2 linked regions of the Arabidopsis thaliana genome follow. The protein of the gene in region 1 interacts with the protein of each later gene in a pairwise test. Each region holds a gene or a part of one and is shown in the gene's direction. Other genes may lie near its edges.

Evidence for each region.
Region 2: the proteins of SHI (region 1) and PHV interact in binary tests that used the Arabidopsis thaliana proteins (3 or more experiments, as listed by UniProt).

What each region holds. Positions count from the first base shown.
Region 1 is NC_003076.8:26,502,572-26,508,514, reverse strand, and holds SHI (Lateral root primordium (LRP) protein-like protein), read left to right. Parts: upstream 1-1,705; 5' UTR 1,706-2,371; coding exon 2,372-2,993; intron 2,994-3,427; coding exon 3,428-3,769; coding exon of another isoform or gene 3,770-3,801; exon of another isoform or gene 3,802-3,997; coding exon of another isoform or gene 3,998-4,014; exon of another isoform or gene 4,015-4,574; intron 4,575-5,176; exon of another isoform or gene 5,177-5,227; coding exon 5,228-5,259; 3' UTR 5,260-5,361; downstream 5,362-5,943. Other genes in the region: AT5G66340 (uncharacterized protein), read right to left, coding at 5,362-5,473, 5,617-5,750. UniProt on the Arabidopsis thaliana protein: Transcription activator that binds DNA on 5'-ACTCTAC-3' and promotes auxin homeostasis-regulating gene expression (e.g. YUC genes), as well as genes affecting stamen development, cell expansion and timing of flowering.
Region 2 is NC_003070.9:10,795,616-10,803,040, reverse strand, and holds PHV (Homeobox-leucine zipper family protein / lipid-binding START domain-containing protein), read left to right. Parts: upstream 1-1,947; 5' UTR 1,948-2,296; coding exon 2,297-2,517; intron 2,518-3,028; coding exon 3,029-3,188; intron 3,189-3,318; coding exon 3,319-3,434; intron 3,435-3,515; coding exon 3,516-3,606; intron 3,607-3,701; coding exon 3,702-3,797; intron 3,798-3,883; coding exon 3,884-3,997; intron 3,998-4,073; coding exon 4,074-4,157; intron 4,158-4,235; coding exon 4,236-4,391; intron 4,392-4,477; coding exon 4,478-4,552; intron 4,553-4,626; coding exon 4,627-4,733; intron 4,734-4,805; coding exon 4,806-4,995; intron 4,996-5,087; coding exon 5,088-5,276; intron 5,277-5,359; coding exon 5,360-5,440; intron 5,441-5,526; coding exon 5,527-5,667; intron 5,668-5,755; coding exon 5,756-6,045; intron 6,046-6,143; coding exon 6,144-6,261; intron 6,262-6,344; coding exon 6,345-6,494; intron 6,495-6,566; coding exon 6,567-6,713; 3' UTR 6,714-6,917; downstream 6,918-7,425. UniProt on the Arabidopsis thaliana protein: Probable transcription factor involved in the determination of adaxial-abaxial polarity in ovule primordium. Specifies adaxial leaf fates. Binds to the DNA sequence 5'-GTAAT[GC]ATTAC-3'.

The sequences.
Region 1 (5,943 bases):
TGCCTATGTAAGAAAAATATATATTAAGAAGTGATTTTCTCTTTATTGGTAATAATGTGTAATTGTGTACAAGTGATATTTAGAAGCCAACAAACACTATGCTCCAAACTTACTTTTCTTTATTCTCTAGTTTATAAAGTTCTTTCCACATTTCCATGTTTTCTTATTGATAATGGGCATAACATACATTCTAAATCTCCAAAAGATGGTACCGGGGTCAAGTAGAATGGTAGATGACTAGATGCGTTTGAAGTGCAGATATTTGGCAGAAAAGGTAGTGGAAACAATTTCAACGTTTTTAGAAAAATTGCTAGGACATGAAATGGAAGGTTAAATAGTTAAGAAAATGTTAGTAACTTTACCTAAATTTGTATAAATTATGACACTGAAAACTTAAAGAAAAGAAGAACACAGTGCTCGAGAAGATACTTTAAACCTTTTCTTTTGGAAAAAAAAGACTATTCTATTTGTACTAATTTCAAGATTCAAACTCCAAAATAAAAGAAATTTAATAGTTTTGGCTCATGGTGAGTCTTTCATTATGCGAGTTTGTTGCTATTTGCAAAGATAATCGATGTTACCAATACATTTGGAATTTATGGATTTGTAATTTAGTTATATACAAGAATAAAATCCGAGAGAATGTCACTGTCCCTTTTGCCCACTCCCTCTCTTAATTTCTCGGTCCTAAATGATTGCATATATTCATCGAACTCTATCCCCAATTTTCTTCTCCTCTATTTCAGTCACTCATAATTTTTGCATTCAACAAAGTACAAACCCTCACATACATTAAGATTGTCATAACAAGAAAACCATTAAAACATCCAAATTGATTTCTGAAATTTACAGCTTCTAGATCAAATTTAAAGTTGTCTTTTATACTCTATTTCATAGATACACATTAACATTGTTTACAATACGGTGAAGAGGTTGGATAGATGATTTTGCTGATTGTTTATGTCAACAATAACTTTCATCCATTTCATAAATACATGTATTTTTTACAACCTCACTTTCATTAAATGTATTCTCTCTTTTACACAACAGTGGGTATTTCCACTAGGAAATGACTATAGTGCCCCTCTTCTTATTAGTCAACTCTCCATATCCTTTTGGAAAAATCCATGAACTATCTTCAGTTTTTTACTTTGTCTGTAGTTTGATATTCTGAAACAACTGAAATTCGTTAAAATTTGGAATGATTAATTGGTCAATTAAATTAAGATTCATGGGGTATAGGTATACGGGACAATTGATATACATCAGTGTATGTATTGTATACATAATTAAATATTTTAATACTATCAGGTGTTCATTATTAAAGTTTGTATATATAATGATAAAAATAACAGAGTAGTAATTTGCTTCCTTGGAAACATGGATAAGCAACTGTTTTCCAGCTGCGAACTTTAGGCACTTAATTTTAAAGTCACAGGTATACACTACGCAACCAAAGCAAGATTTCGCTAATAATAATTAAAATTGCATCGAATCTAACTAAAGAATCTAAAAATACAAGTATACCCAGTCCCCAACGTTGTGTAGGACGATATATGATTATAAAGTTTTAGTTTAGATATTACATAACTATAGATTTCTCATAAATAAAGAAATCTTCCGTTCATTTCACTAAAATATCGTTCGAACAAATAATACACAGATTAATATCTAAACGTAAATCATATAAACAAATAGTGTAGGATTTAATTATAGTAGCATTTTGGCAAACACAAACAGACAAACAAAGGAAGAGGCAGCGTGTTTTCCGGTAGAGAAAAGACGGAGAGAGTAAAAGCCGAAGTTGTAAACGTGGCAACATATTGACCGCAGGATCTAAAACACGTGATGATCAACGGTAAGATATATCTTGTCCGAGAAGTGTTTTGTGATATTAATTGGTGTAAGGAAAATCTGGAAAACAAACAAAAAAGAAAAGAGAGACAGAGAATTTAATAAGAGAGGAAGAGTATTAAGGTGATGGCGGCGTTGCAGAGCGCGAGACAGAGAAAGAAACCTCTCTGAGATACATCTCTCTCTCTCTCTCTATCCCCTCTTAAATACACTCCATACCGACAAACCAACTTTTTTCTCAGTACTAAAAGAAACCTCTATTCGATTTCTAAACAAACCCTAGATATAGACTACTCTACATTCTTCCATTAAGTTAATCTCTTTCGTCTTCTTCTTCTTCATCCTCTCATAATTAAAGATCTCTATCAAGAGAGAGATCTTTTATTGTCTTCTTCTGTTAAAATCTTTTGATAGATCTTCACTCTCTGAAAGTCAAGATCTTAGTCTAGGCAAGTAAATATGTGGTAAAGCAAAGCCCTTCTTGAAATTGGTCATATATGGCTGGTGGTATCGGAAAATGGCAGGATTTTTCTCGTTAGGACACGGCGGAGGAGGAAACACTCCAGACAACCACAGAACAAACACTAATAATCCTTCTTCATCGGGAACAGAATCTTGGCTTTGGTGCAGAAACCCTAACTCTAACGCTGACGGTGGAGAAGCTGGTCCTTCTTACAAAGGAACCCTTGAGCTATGGCAACACCCAAACAATCAAGAAATCATTTTCCAGCAGCAGCAGCAACAGCAACAAAGGCTGGATCTTTACACTTCCGCTGCGGGTTTAGGTGTTGGACCGAGCAACCGGAGCTTAATTGAAACTTCCGGCGGTGCGTTGATGATGATGAGAAGCGGTAGCGGTAGCGGCGGACCAAGCTGCCAGGATTGTGGGAATCAATCTAAGAAAGACTGCTCTCACATGAGATGTAGGACTTGCTGCAAGAGCCGTGGCCTTGACTGTCCCACTCACGTGAAGAGCACGTGGGTTCCTGCCGCTAAACGCCGAGAACGCCAGCAGCAGCTTTCTACCGGTCAGCAACCGCAGCAACTGGGAGGGAGCGTCCCTAAACGACAGAGAGAGCGTATCCCGGCGAGATCGACTTCCATGGCCTACACTCGTATACCTTCTAACAACACTTCAGGTATTTCATAATATCTCTTTATGGTTATTCACCCCTGAATGAAAATTAAAGTAATGAGCTTTGAATAACTTGAGTTATTAGTTTCAATTGCAGAAACAGAAACCCTATTTTGATCAGCTTTTTTTGTTCTTCTTTTTTCATTTTCAAGAAAAAAAAAAGGTGAACGATTTTCTTCTTCCTATTTTTTTTTTTTAATATGGAAATACTGTAGATCAGTAAGACTGACTCTTGGAATGACAGGAAGAAACTGTTCTCACTGATCTTGATATTTGTGTTTATATCCTGTAATTATTAAGTTTTTGTTTATTTGTTTGTTAATGCTGTAATTATTAATTTGAGTTAAGATAAAAACAAACAAACAAATCATACGTTGAAAATACTCCTACGATTTTTTCTTATAATTAACAATAATTAATTAAATGTTTTCTATCTAGGGTTGGAGGTTGGGAATTTTCCGCCGGAAGTTAGCTCGTCGGCAGTTTTTCGGTGCGTGCGTGTGAGTTCCGTAGATGATGAAGAAGAAGAGTATGCATATAAAACAGCTGTGAGTATAGGCGGTCACGTCTTCAAAGGTGTTCTCTACGATCAAGGCCCGGCCGAGAGAAGCTCCTCGGGCGGTGGATCTCAGCCGTTGAATCTCATAACCGCAGGCCCATCGGCCTCATCATCAAGCCCAAACGTGAGCTGCAACAATGGAGTCGTTGGCTCCACTTCAGATCATTATATCGATCCTGCCTCACTTAATTATCCTACTCCCATTAACACTTTCATGACTGGTACGCACTTCTTCTCCAACTCAAGATCTTGAATTCCACACAGAGAGAGTACAACAAATCATAACTTTTTTTTAGATTCTTACGGTAGAATTAGGGTTTTAAAACATCTTCGGAGGTGAAGATTATAACGTACTAATCTTGGTTTTCAAAAGTAATTAACTAAGGGAGATAATGTTCTATTAAAACAATTGTTACCTGATCTTTTATTATTAAGTTCAAATTTTGTAGGTATAATGTTAATGTAATAGTATACTCCAATTTTCAACTGTTACAAAAGTCAACGACCCTGTCTCTGTGAAAGCTCACATCAAAAGCAAGATTTGCAGCTGGCAGTTTTCAACTGTGATCGTTAAACTCAGCCTTGTTTTATTGTCAGCTTTTCACATTACTCTTTTTTTAGGTTTACTTTAACATTAATTTACCTTTCAAATTACTACTTTAGGTCAATTAATTGCAATTATGATTTGCCTGTAGAAATATTAATGTGAAAAACAAGGTTACAAAATTGAAATTTGGGTGAAGACATGTATTTAGGTGTCTTGTGCTTTTGGTCAACAAATCAGACACACTAGCACAGGTATATCGTTCGTCTACGACTACTATATATCCGGCAATATGCCATACCCTAATCTTAAGTTTTATTCAGTTTGAGCCGTTTTTAAAGTGATGCTCTCATTCCTATGATTGATATAATGTCAGTACACTTACATTTGAAGAGAGACTTACTGCCACATCCGACTCTTTACATTATTTTTTATATATATATATCCTGATAGCCAGTTTCTCCATATTTCTATCTTACATAGTTTTCACATCGTACGTTACGGTGTATTTTTTAGCCACATCTGAAGGGGCTTTACTATACAAATCTCAAATGCAATCCCCAAAATCTGACAAGCAGTGAGACTGTATGTGTATTTTGATTCTTTTGTTACAACGAGTGAGGCTGTAAATTCGGCAGATTATGAGTGAGTGGGGGAACAGAAAAAGGTGTAAAATTGGTATGCATCTTTATTTCTGCAGGTGTTTATGTTTGGACCTAAAAAAACTCTTCTTTCCCAATTCATTTCTTAGGCTCTCTTTTTCATTATTCAATTTACGTCACCTCAAGAAAGCCATGATGATAACGAGATGCAAAAAGAATCGGAAAACGAGCTAACATTATAATAACTCATTAGGATTAAAATTTAATTAAGTGTTGCATGGAGTTGTGAAGACTTGTAAAAAAGATGCACACAAATCATGCATTTTGTGATTTACATTTATATCATTCTATAATTGAATTGGTCCCATTAAACCTTAAACAGCTAATCCCACCTTGCTTATGCTGATTTGTCCCCGATTATTTCCTCCGTACTACTCGCACCATGTCTTCGAAATTTCTCTTTTGGAAAACCTAAGTTGCTTTTTATTTTCTTGGTCAAGCAAGACTCAAGAGTTTGATGTTGTTGCACGTAGAAAGGATCTTGAAGACGGATGTCGGATGGTGATAAAAGCAGCAACTTTAAACTCCGAACGCAAGTGGGGCCTTAGGAAATTTCACTGTGAACCAATAAGAGAGTAACACGTCTGAGGGACAATTTGCAATTCCATCATTGCATTTCAAGGGGACAAAACAGAAGCCTCAGGTCCACAGCATCAAGCTTTCCAAACCGAATTTTTAATTTGAGTGTCGCAGGCTCGCTGCATAAAGAGAAGACGACACTGTAGTCCTCAGTGACCAAATAATGAAGTAGCCCAAAACTAAGCCATGCTGTTGCTGGGTAAAACAAAACTACTAAGCCCTAGAGGTATGGGCCTCTGTTTTTCTCTCTCCATGAGACTCACGAGCAAATCACATAACTAACTTTGGATACATTCGACTCTGTTCCTGATCCACTCTTCTCTCCCCTGTTTGTCTTTCTCCATTATCTCTTCTTCCGGAGACTGGAAAGATGGCATTGGGCAACAAACGCACTTCGTCGACGATTTCAATAGTAATCTGGATAAGCATAAATCACAGCTTAGAGGAAAATAGAAGGTCAGAGAAGAGAGTATCGTGATCGATGTAAGCACTAGTTTCTGCTTTGTAATTGTGCATCTTTCTAACTATTATAGGGATGGTCTTTGAGTTCAAGATTAACAAAGAAACAGTGAGACAATTATTCGTTAAGAACAACATACCGACGAAAAGC
Region 2 (7,425 bases), on another chromosome or scaffold:
CTTTGCATATTTAGACTTGTAGCAACTATCAACAAGTCGGACACAACAAACGTTCATGCAAGCGTAAAGCAGTGCCAAAACCACCCAAGAAACCTCAAAGACGACCAAGGAAAAAACAGAAAACAATGGATGAAGAGAACCCTATCACTCAGCCAATACAATCTTCTCTTCAAAGTTAATGCTTGACAAGTCTTTACTTTAGAATATCTTGTCCCTCTGAAACGATTGTTTTTTTTGTGACAAATATTGTTGTGTTGCAACAGCTTCGATAGTTATGTTGGTTGGATTTATTTAAGTATGACTCTTTGGATTATTTTAAGTTGTTGTGTCTTTCTTTCAGCTTCTAAAATCCAAACTAATTAAGCAATTCAAAATCATTTAGAACGTTTTTTTGTAATAAATTCAAAATAGTTTTAAAGAACATCATGTGGTTTTTGCGCTAAATACAAATGTCTCGTTGTTTTTTTTTTTAGAAATTAATATCCCATTAATAATTAATTACTGTGGAGTTAAGTTTATTAACAGGTTTTAGTTCAGGGTTTGTTTTACTAAAAACATAGTTTAGGGTTTAAAATGGATCTGGCCAAAGTTAAGGGTTTTTTTCATTAAATTCCCTAATTTATATTCAAAACTTTCAAAACAAGTTAAAGGAAATAAAACCAATTAAGGTTAACCAAAAAAAACAACAGATTTCACGCATCTCACGCGCATAGTGACATTGTACATACTTGTCATGCATCGTCTCTTCCACATGGATACAAAAGATAGGCATACAACAACACCATCATCATGAAAATATGTACATGCACATACATACATACATACAACGTCTTAGGACTAGAGAGCAAAGAGGGTAGGGAAAATTTGATGCTATGTTTGGGTAGGCCACTGTCACAGAGCTTAAAGAGAAGTGCTTTCTTTCCCTAAGTTAGCAAATTACCCCATTTTGTCAAAATTCCGTTTCTTCTGACAACAACACTTACGTTTTACGAATATAAATAGTTGTAGCATGATTTATTTTTGTTACCAATAGATAAACATATTTATTCTTATCGATTGCCATTAGGACTAGGGATTCTGATAATAATTGATATGTCTTAAAATTTGCAGAGACAACAACTTTGCGTGTTGGTTTTCTCATCTGTTTGTGTTTAGCCTTAGTCTGAAATCTGAATGCATTTAAGTTTTTCAAAACTAATCACTTTCAATCCTTTTTAATTGTCAACATCTACTTGTCCTTTTAATCTAATCCAAGAATATTGAATACAGAAACATGTTTACACAAAGAAAATTAGGTGGTAATGATATGAATTAGAGAAGTGTAATCAAGATTCCATCTCATATTAAACCTATTTAAAAGAGTTGTAAGAAAAAATAATAAAACAAGTAATTATTTACTTATAACTATGCATCAAATATTACGAAACTTTTAAAATGAATTGTTAATCTAATTCAATCAATATTATAATTATCTATTTAACTAATAATATTTATATGGTGGCAACCAAAGAATATATATGGGTCCAACTGGTAATTTAGATGAATTGTAAAATTTTTCGGAATAGTTGCAAACTATAAAAAAGAGTTGTACGAGAAAGTTGTATAATAAAATTGAGAATAAAACTTTTTATAACGTTTTTGATAAAGATTTTATAAATGATAACTGTCAAAGTTGTACAAACTCTACCGCTTTGATAATGAGTTATCAAAGACATAAACTTTTATCCTAGTTAATCATTTTAACTTTTAGAATTTAAGCTTTGAATTAAAATTCAAGCTTAGCTTTGTATAAGAAAAAGTTTAAATATTTTTACTTTGCCTTAACAGTAAAAAGCTTTTAACCAAAAACATTGAATTCAACCTACTCTCCCAAAAATTTCACCTTTAATTTTTTTTGAAAACAATATTTACCAGTTTAGTGCATCTTGTTGGGTTGTTCCTTGTCCTTTCTCTCTCAGAAAGATCTTTACTTTTACTTTTTCAGTATTTTCCTCTCTCTTCTCTCTCTTCTCTCTCTTCTCTCTACTTAGCTGCCTCGCTTTTGCTCCTTTTACCTCTTTCCATCTTTCAATCTCCTTTGAGAGAGAGAGCAAATGAAAAAAACCCAAAAAACTCTTTTCTCCAACCATTACCATCTCATGAACACTCTCACAGGAGGCTCTCTCTTCTCAGAGAGCCTACCCATCTAATATTTCTTCATCTGAGTCTCTTTTACTTCTCTCAAAGTATCGATCTTTATTCTTCTTTTTGTAAACCCTCTCTCTCTCTCTGATTTCTACTGACCTGTTTGGAAGATATGATGGCTCATCACTCCATGGACGATAGAGACTCTCCTGATAAAGGATTTGATTCCGGCAAGTACGTTAGATACACGCCGGAACAAGTTGAAGCTCTTGAGAGAGTTTATGCTGAGTGTCCTAAACCTAGCTCTCTGAGAAGACAACAGCTTATTCGTGAATGTCCCATTCTCTGTAACATCGAGCCTCGACAGATCAAAGTTTGGTTCCAGAATCGCAGGTTATTATTTCTTTATTAATTGTCTTTAATGGAATGTTTTTTGTGTTCTTTGATTGTTTCTGTAATTATAAAATTGAATTTCTTTTGTTTGTATTTGGAGACAAAAATGTTCTTGTCTGACAATGTTTTTGGTAATCTTCTTGTTTTTGGTCTAATTGGTGATTGTTAAGCTTTTGAAACTTTCAGATCTATGTCTATAAATTTGTTTTTCTCTTTTTGCTTATTAGGCTTTTGTTGACACAGTTGAAAGTTAAAATCACAAGGAAAAGTGACAGCTAATCAAACTGTCTTTGATGAGCTTTAAAACGCCTCTCTCTTTTTTTCCTTCTGCAGAGAATATGTTGGAAATTACATTATCTTTTGTTCTTTATGTCATTCTGGTATCATTCTAAAGCAAAAAAGTGTGTGTTTCTTCTGTTCATTTTTCTATTATTTCAACACATTTATCATACTGCTATAGGTTTGTCTTTAACTTTTCTGGTTTCTTTTGGTTGTTTTGTTGACTTTTTAGATGTCGAGAGAAGCAGAGGAAAGAGTCAGCTCGTCTTCAGACAGTGAACAGGAAGCTGAGTGCTATGAACAAGCTTTTGATGGAAGAGAATGATCGTTTGCAGAAGCAAGTCTCCAACTTGGTTTATGAGAATGGATTCATGAAACATCGAATCCACACTGTAAGTCCTTGAATCCCTTTTGCTAAATGCATTGTTGAGTTGTTATCTTTGATGCTTGTATATGTATTTGTTCTTTAAGAGTTCTCTGTTGTTAGAGAGTGACTGGTGAAATCTCTGTGTTGTGTCTTAGGCTTCTGGGACGACCACAGACAACAGCTGTGAGTCTGTGGTCGTGAGTGGTCAGCAACGTCAGCAGCAAAACCCAACACATCAGCATCCTCAGCGTGATGTTAACAACCCAGCTAAGTAAGGAAGGCTCTTTTTTTGTTTGTGAATTTCTCATTGTGACATTATGAGAAGAGACTAAATGGAGTGTTTTTTTGGTAGTCTTCTCTCGATTGCGGAGGAGACCTTGGCGGAGTTCCTTTGCAAGGCTACAGGAACTGCTGTCGACTGGGTCCAGATGATTGGGATGAAGGTAGATAAGTTGAAGTATTTTAACGTTTTCATATGTGGAAATGAAGTGGTTTTTAGAAAATGTTTTAATATGTATTTTCATGGTTATGTATGTAGCCTGGTCCGGATTCTATTGGTATCGTAGCTGTTTCACGCAACTGCAGTGGAATAGCAGCACGTGCCTGTGGCCTCGTGAGTTTAGAACCCATGAAGGTAATGGTGTTTTCTTTTTATTTTAATCTTGTGTTGTAAGAAGCGGAAATTCTACGAAGGCAATCTAAACTTCAAATACTGTGTAGGTCGCTGAAATCCTCAAAGATCGTCCATCTTGGTTCCGTGACTGTCGATGTGTCGAGACTCTGAATGTTATACCCACTGGAAATGGTGGTACTATCGAGCTTGTCAACACTCAGGTCTGTTTCATAAATCCATGAGTGTTGTTTTTGTTCCTTTAAAATGTAATGATCATTATTCATGGTTGGTTATCAGATTTATGCTCCTACAACATTAGCAGCAGCTCGTGACTTTTGGACGCTGAGATATAGTACAAGTCTAGAAGATGGAAGCTATGTGGTGGGTATTAGGACCTGGTTTTGTTCATCTATGATTCTATTTATTAGATTTGCCTTATATTTGCTTTTTTGCCTTCAGGTCTGTGAGAGATCACTCACTTCTGCAACTGGTGGCCCCAATGGTCCACTTTCTTCAAGCTTCGTGAGAGCCAAAATGCTGTCAAGCGGGTTTCTTATCCGTCCTTGTGATGGTGGTGGTTCCATTATTCACATCGTTGATCATGTGGACTTGGATGTAAGCATATTGGATTTGTAATAGCACATTAGGTTTCGTAAAAGCCTTCTATTTATGTTGATTGATACGTTTTTTTGGTTTGGTAGGTCTCAAGTGTTCCTGAAGTCCTCAGGCCTCTTTATGAGTCTTCCAAAATCCTTGCTCAAAAAATGACTGTCGCTGTAAGTTCCATATAAACCTTATCCACCCGTGACCTGATTAGGCTCTCTTTATGAGTTTTACTTCCACATTTCAGGCTCTGAGACATGTGCGCCAAATTGCTCAAGAGACTAGTGGAGAAGTCCAGTATAGTGGTGGACGCCAGCCTGCAGTTTTAAGGACTTTCAGCCAGAGACTCTGCCGGTAATACATTTCCTTGATAAGCTTAGTTTTATTTTCTAAAGCATTGTTCTAATTGCTTTTCTTGAAATTCAGGGGTTTCAATGATGCTGTAAATGGTTTTGTCGATGATGGATGGTCTCCAATGAGTAGTGATGGAGGAGAGGATATTACGATCATGATTAACTCTTCCTCTGCTAAATTTGCTGGCTCCCAATACGGTAGCTCATTTCTTCCAAGTTTTGGAAGTGGTGTCCTCTGTGCCAAAGCTTCTATGCTGTTGCAGGTGCCTATATCATGTTTTGACACTTGTGAATAGACAAAAGAACCGGTTTCTTCAATTTCTGACATCATTCTCTTTTTTATCTGCTCTTGAAGAATGTTCCACCCCTTGTATTGATTCGGTTCCTGAGAGAACACCGAGCTGAATGGGCAGACTATGGTGTCGATGCCTATTCTGCTGCATCTCTCAGAGCAACTCCATATGCTGTTCCATGCGTCAGAACCGGTGGGTTCCCGAGTAACCAAGTCATTCTTCCTCTCGCACAGACACTCGAACATGAAGAGGTACAAAGAATCTCAAGAACATTTTCCTTGTTGTCTATTCTTTTGCCATGCCTATAATCCTATTTTGCTTACTTGTTTCTCAGTTTCTCGAAGTGGTTAGACTTGGAGGTCATGCTTACTCACCTGAAGACATGGGCTTATCCCGGGATATGTATTTACTGCAGGTTTGCTTTATACTAAAGACACTCAGGGATTCTTAAAGATGAGTTATTGAAATTGAATTCTTGGTTTCTTTTTTGCTTTTGTCCAGCTTTGTAGCGGCGTTGATGAAAATGTGGTTGGAGGTTGTGCTCAGCTTGTCTTTGCCCCAATCGATGAATCATTTGCTGATGATGCACCTTTGCTTCCTTCTGGTTTCCGTGTCATACCACTCGACCAAAAAACAAATCCGGTAAAAAGAAAACTGTTTATGATAAGAAATTTGATATCTTGAAATTGACACAGTCCTTTTTCTTTTATTCCTGTATGTAACGTTACAGAATGATCATCAATCTGCAAGTCGAACACGGGATCTAGCATCGTCCCTAGATGGTTCCACCAAAACCGATTCGGAAACAAACTCTAGATTGGTCTTAACAATAGCCTTCCAGTTCACGTTTGATAACCATTCCAGAGACAATGTTGCTACAATGGCGAGACAGTATGTGAGGAACGTTGTTGGTTCGATTCAGAGAGTGGCTCTAGCCATTACGCCTCGTCCTGGCTCAATGCAACTTCCCACTTCCCCTGAAGCTCTCACTCTTGTCCGTTGGATCACCCGTAGTTACAGGTACTCTTCTTAGAACCTTAATCTAAAGACTTGTAACAATATAGAATGTGCTTATCTCATTTAATAACTCAATAAAATGTTTTTCTCCGATGTTTTAGTATTCATACAGGTGCAGATCTGTTTGGAGCTGATTCTCAGTCCTGTGGAGGAGACACATTGCTTAAGCAACTCTGGGACCATAGTGATGCCATATTGTGCTGCTCCCTGAAAACTAATGTAAGAATTCTGTTTTTTTAAGAGGTGCTCAATCTAGTTTATGGTTCGGTTTGGGAATTGTCTGATTATTTTTTGGTTCTCAGGCCTCACCGGTATTCACATTTGCAAACCAAGCTGGTTTAGACATGCTTGAAACTACACTTGTGGCACTTCAGGATATAATGCTCGACAAAACACTTGATGACTCTGGTCGTAGAGCTCTTTGCTCCGAGTTCGCCAAGATCATGCAGCAGGTTAAACATTTTCTAGCTAGTCTTTTAAGTCTTTCCCTGGAAAATACTAAGTTTGGATTGAATCTTCTTCAGGGATATGCGAATCTTCCGGCAGGAATATGTGTGTCGAGCATGGGCAGACCGGTTTCGTATGAGCAAGCGACGGTGTGGAAAGTTGTTGATGACAACGAATCAAACCACTGCTTGGCTTTTACCCTCGTTAGTTGGTCGTTTGTTTGATGAAGGAAAAGGTTGGTTATGTTAGATATTAAAAGTTAGGGGATGTTGTTTTTGGCTAAGGTTTGTTGAATTAGAGAGTCCATAACTCTATATGTAATATGGAAAAATTCTGATGATAATCTCTTTAATCAATTATGACATTATGTATGGCAAGATATTTATTTTTATTTATGTTTTGGACTTGTTTCGTTTTTCTTCATCTTCCTTTTACGAAATTTGATATATATATATATATATATATATATATATATATATATATATAGATAGATATAAGATGAATTATTATTAGTAATCTTATAAGTTTTTATCATGTGTTAATGTACAAATATAAACACAAAGATTGGCCTCAAAAGCATGTCGAATAAACTAAATTAATCATCATAGTTTTTGGCAAAAAACGTTTAATGGACTTGGTAGCTCATATGTAACATGAAAAATGTATGCGGAGTTTAGGTTGTATGCATAAATAATAATCATCCAAAAGATTAGATTTGAATGAATCTTTGACATTAAATGATCAATAATCATTACTAGTATTTATCTATTAAATTGAAATAGTATCTATCACAAGAAAACTAGTCATGATGATGCTGTTCTTTGACTTCTAGGCTGGAGGAACCTATAAACTTTTCTTTTGGGTAGTCTAGTTAGTAATGGAAGTTGATAAATAGCTTTTCTTTTGGACAGAAACCTACAAAACTCTTATGGAAGT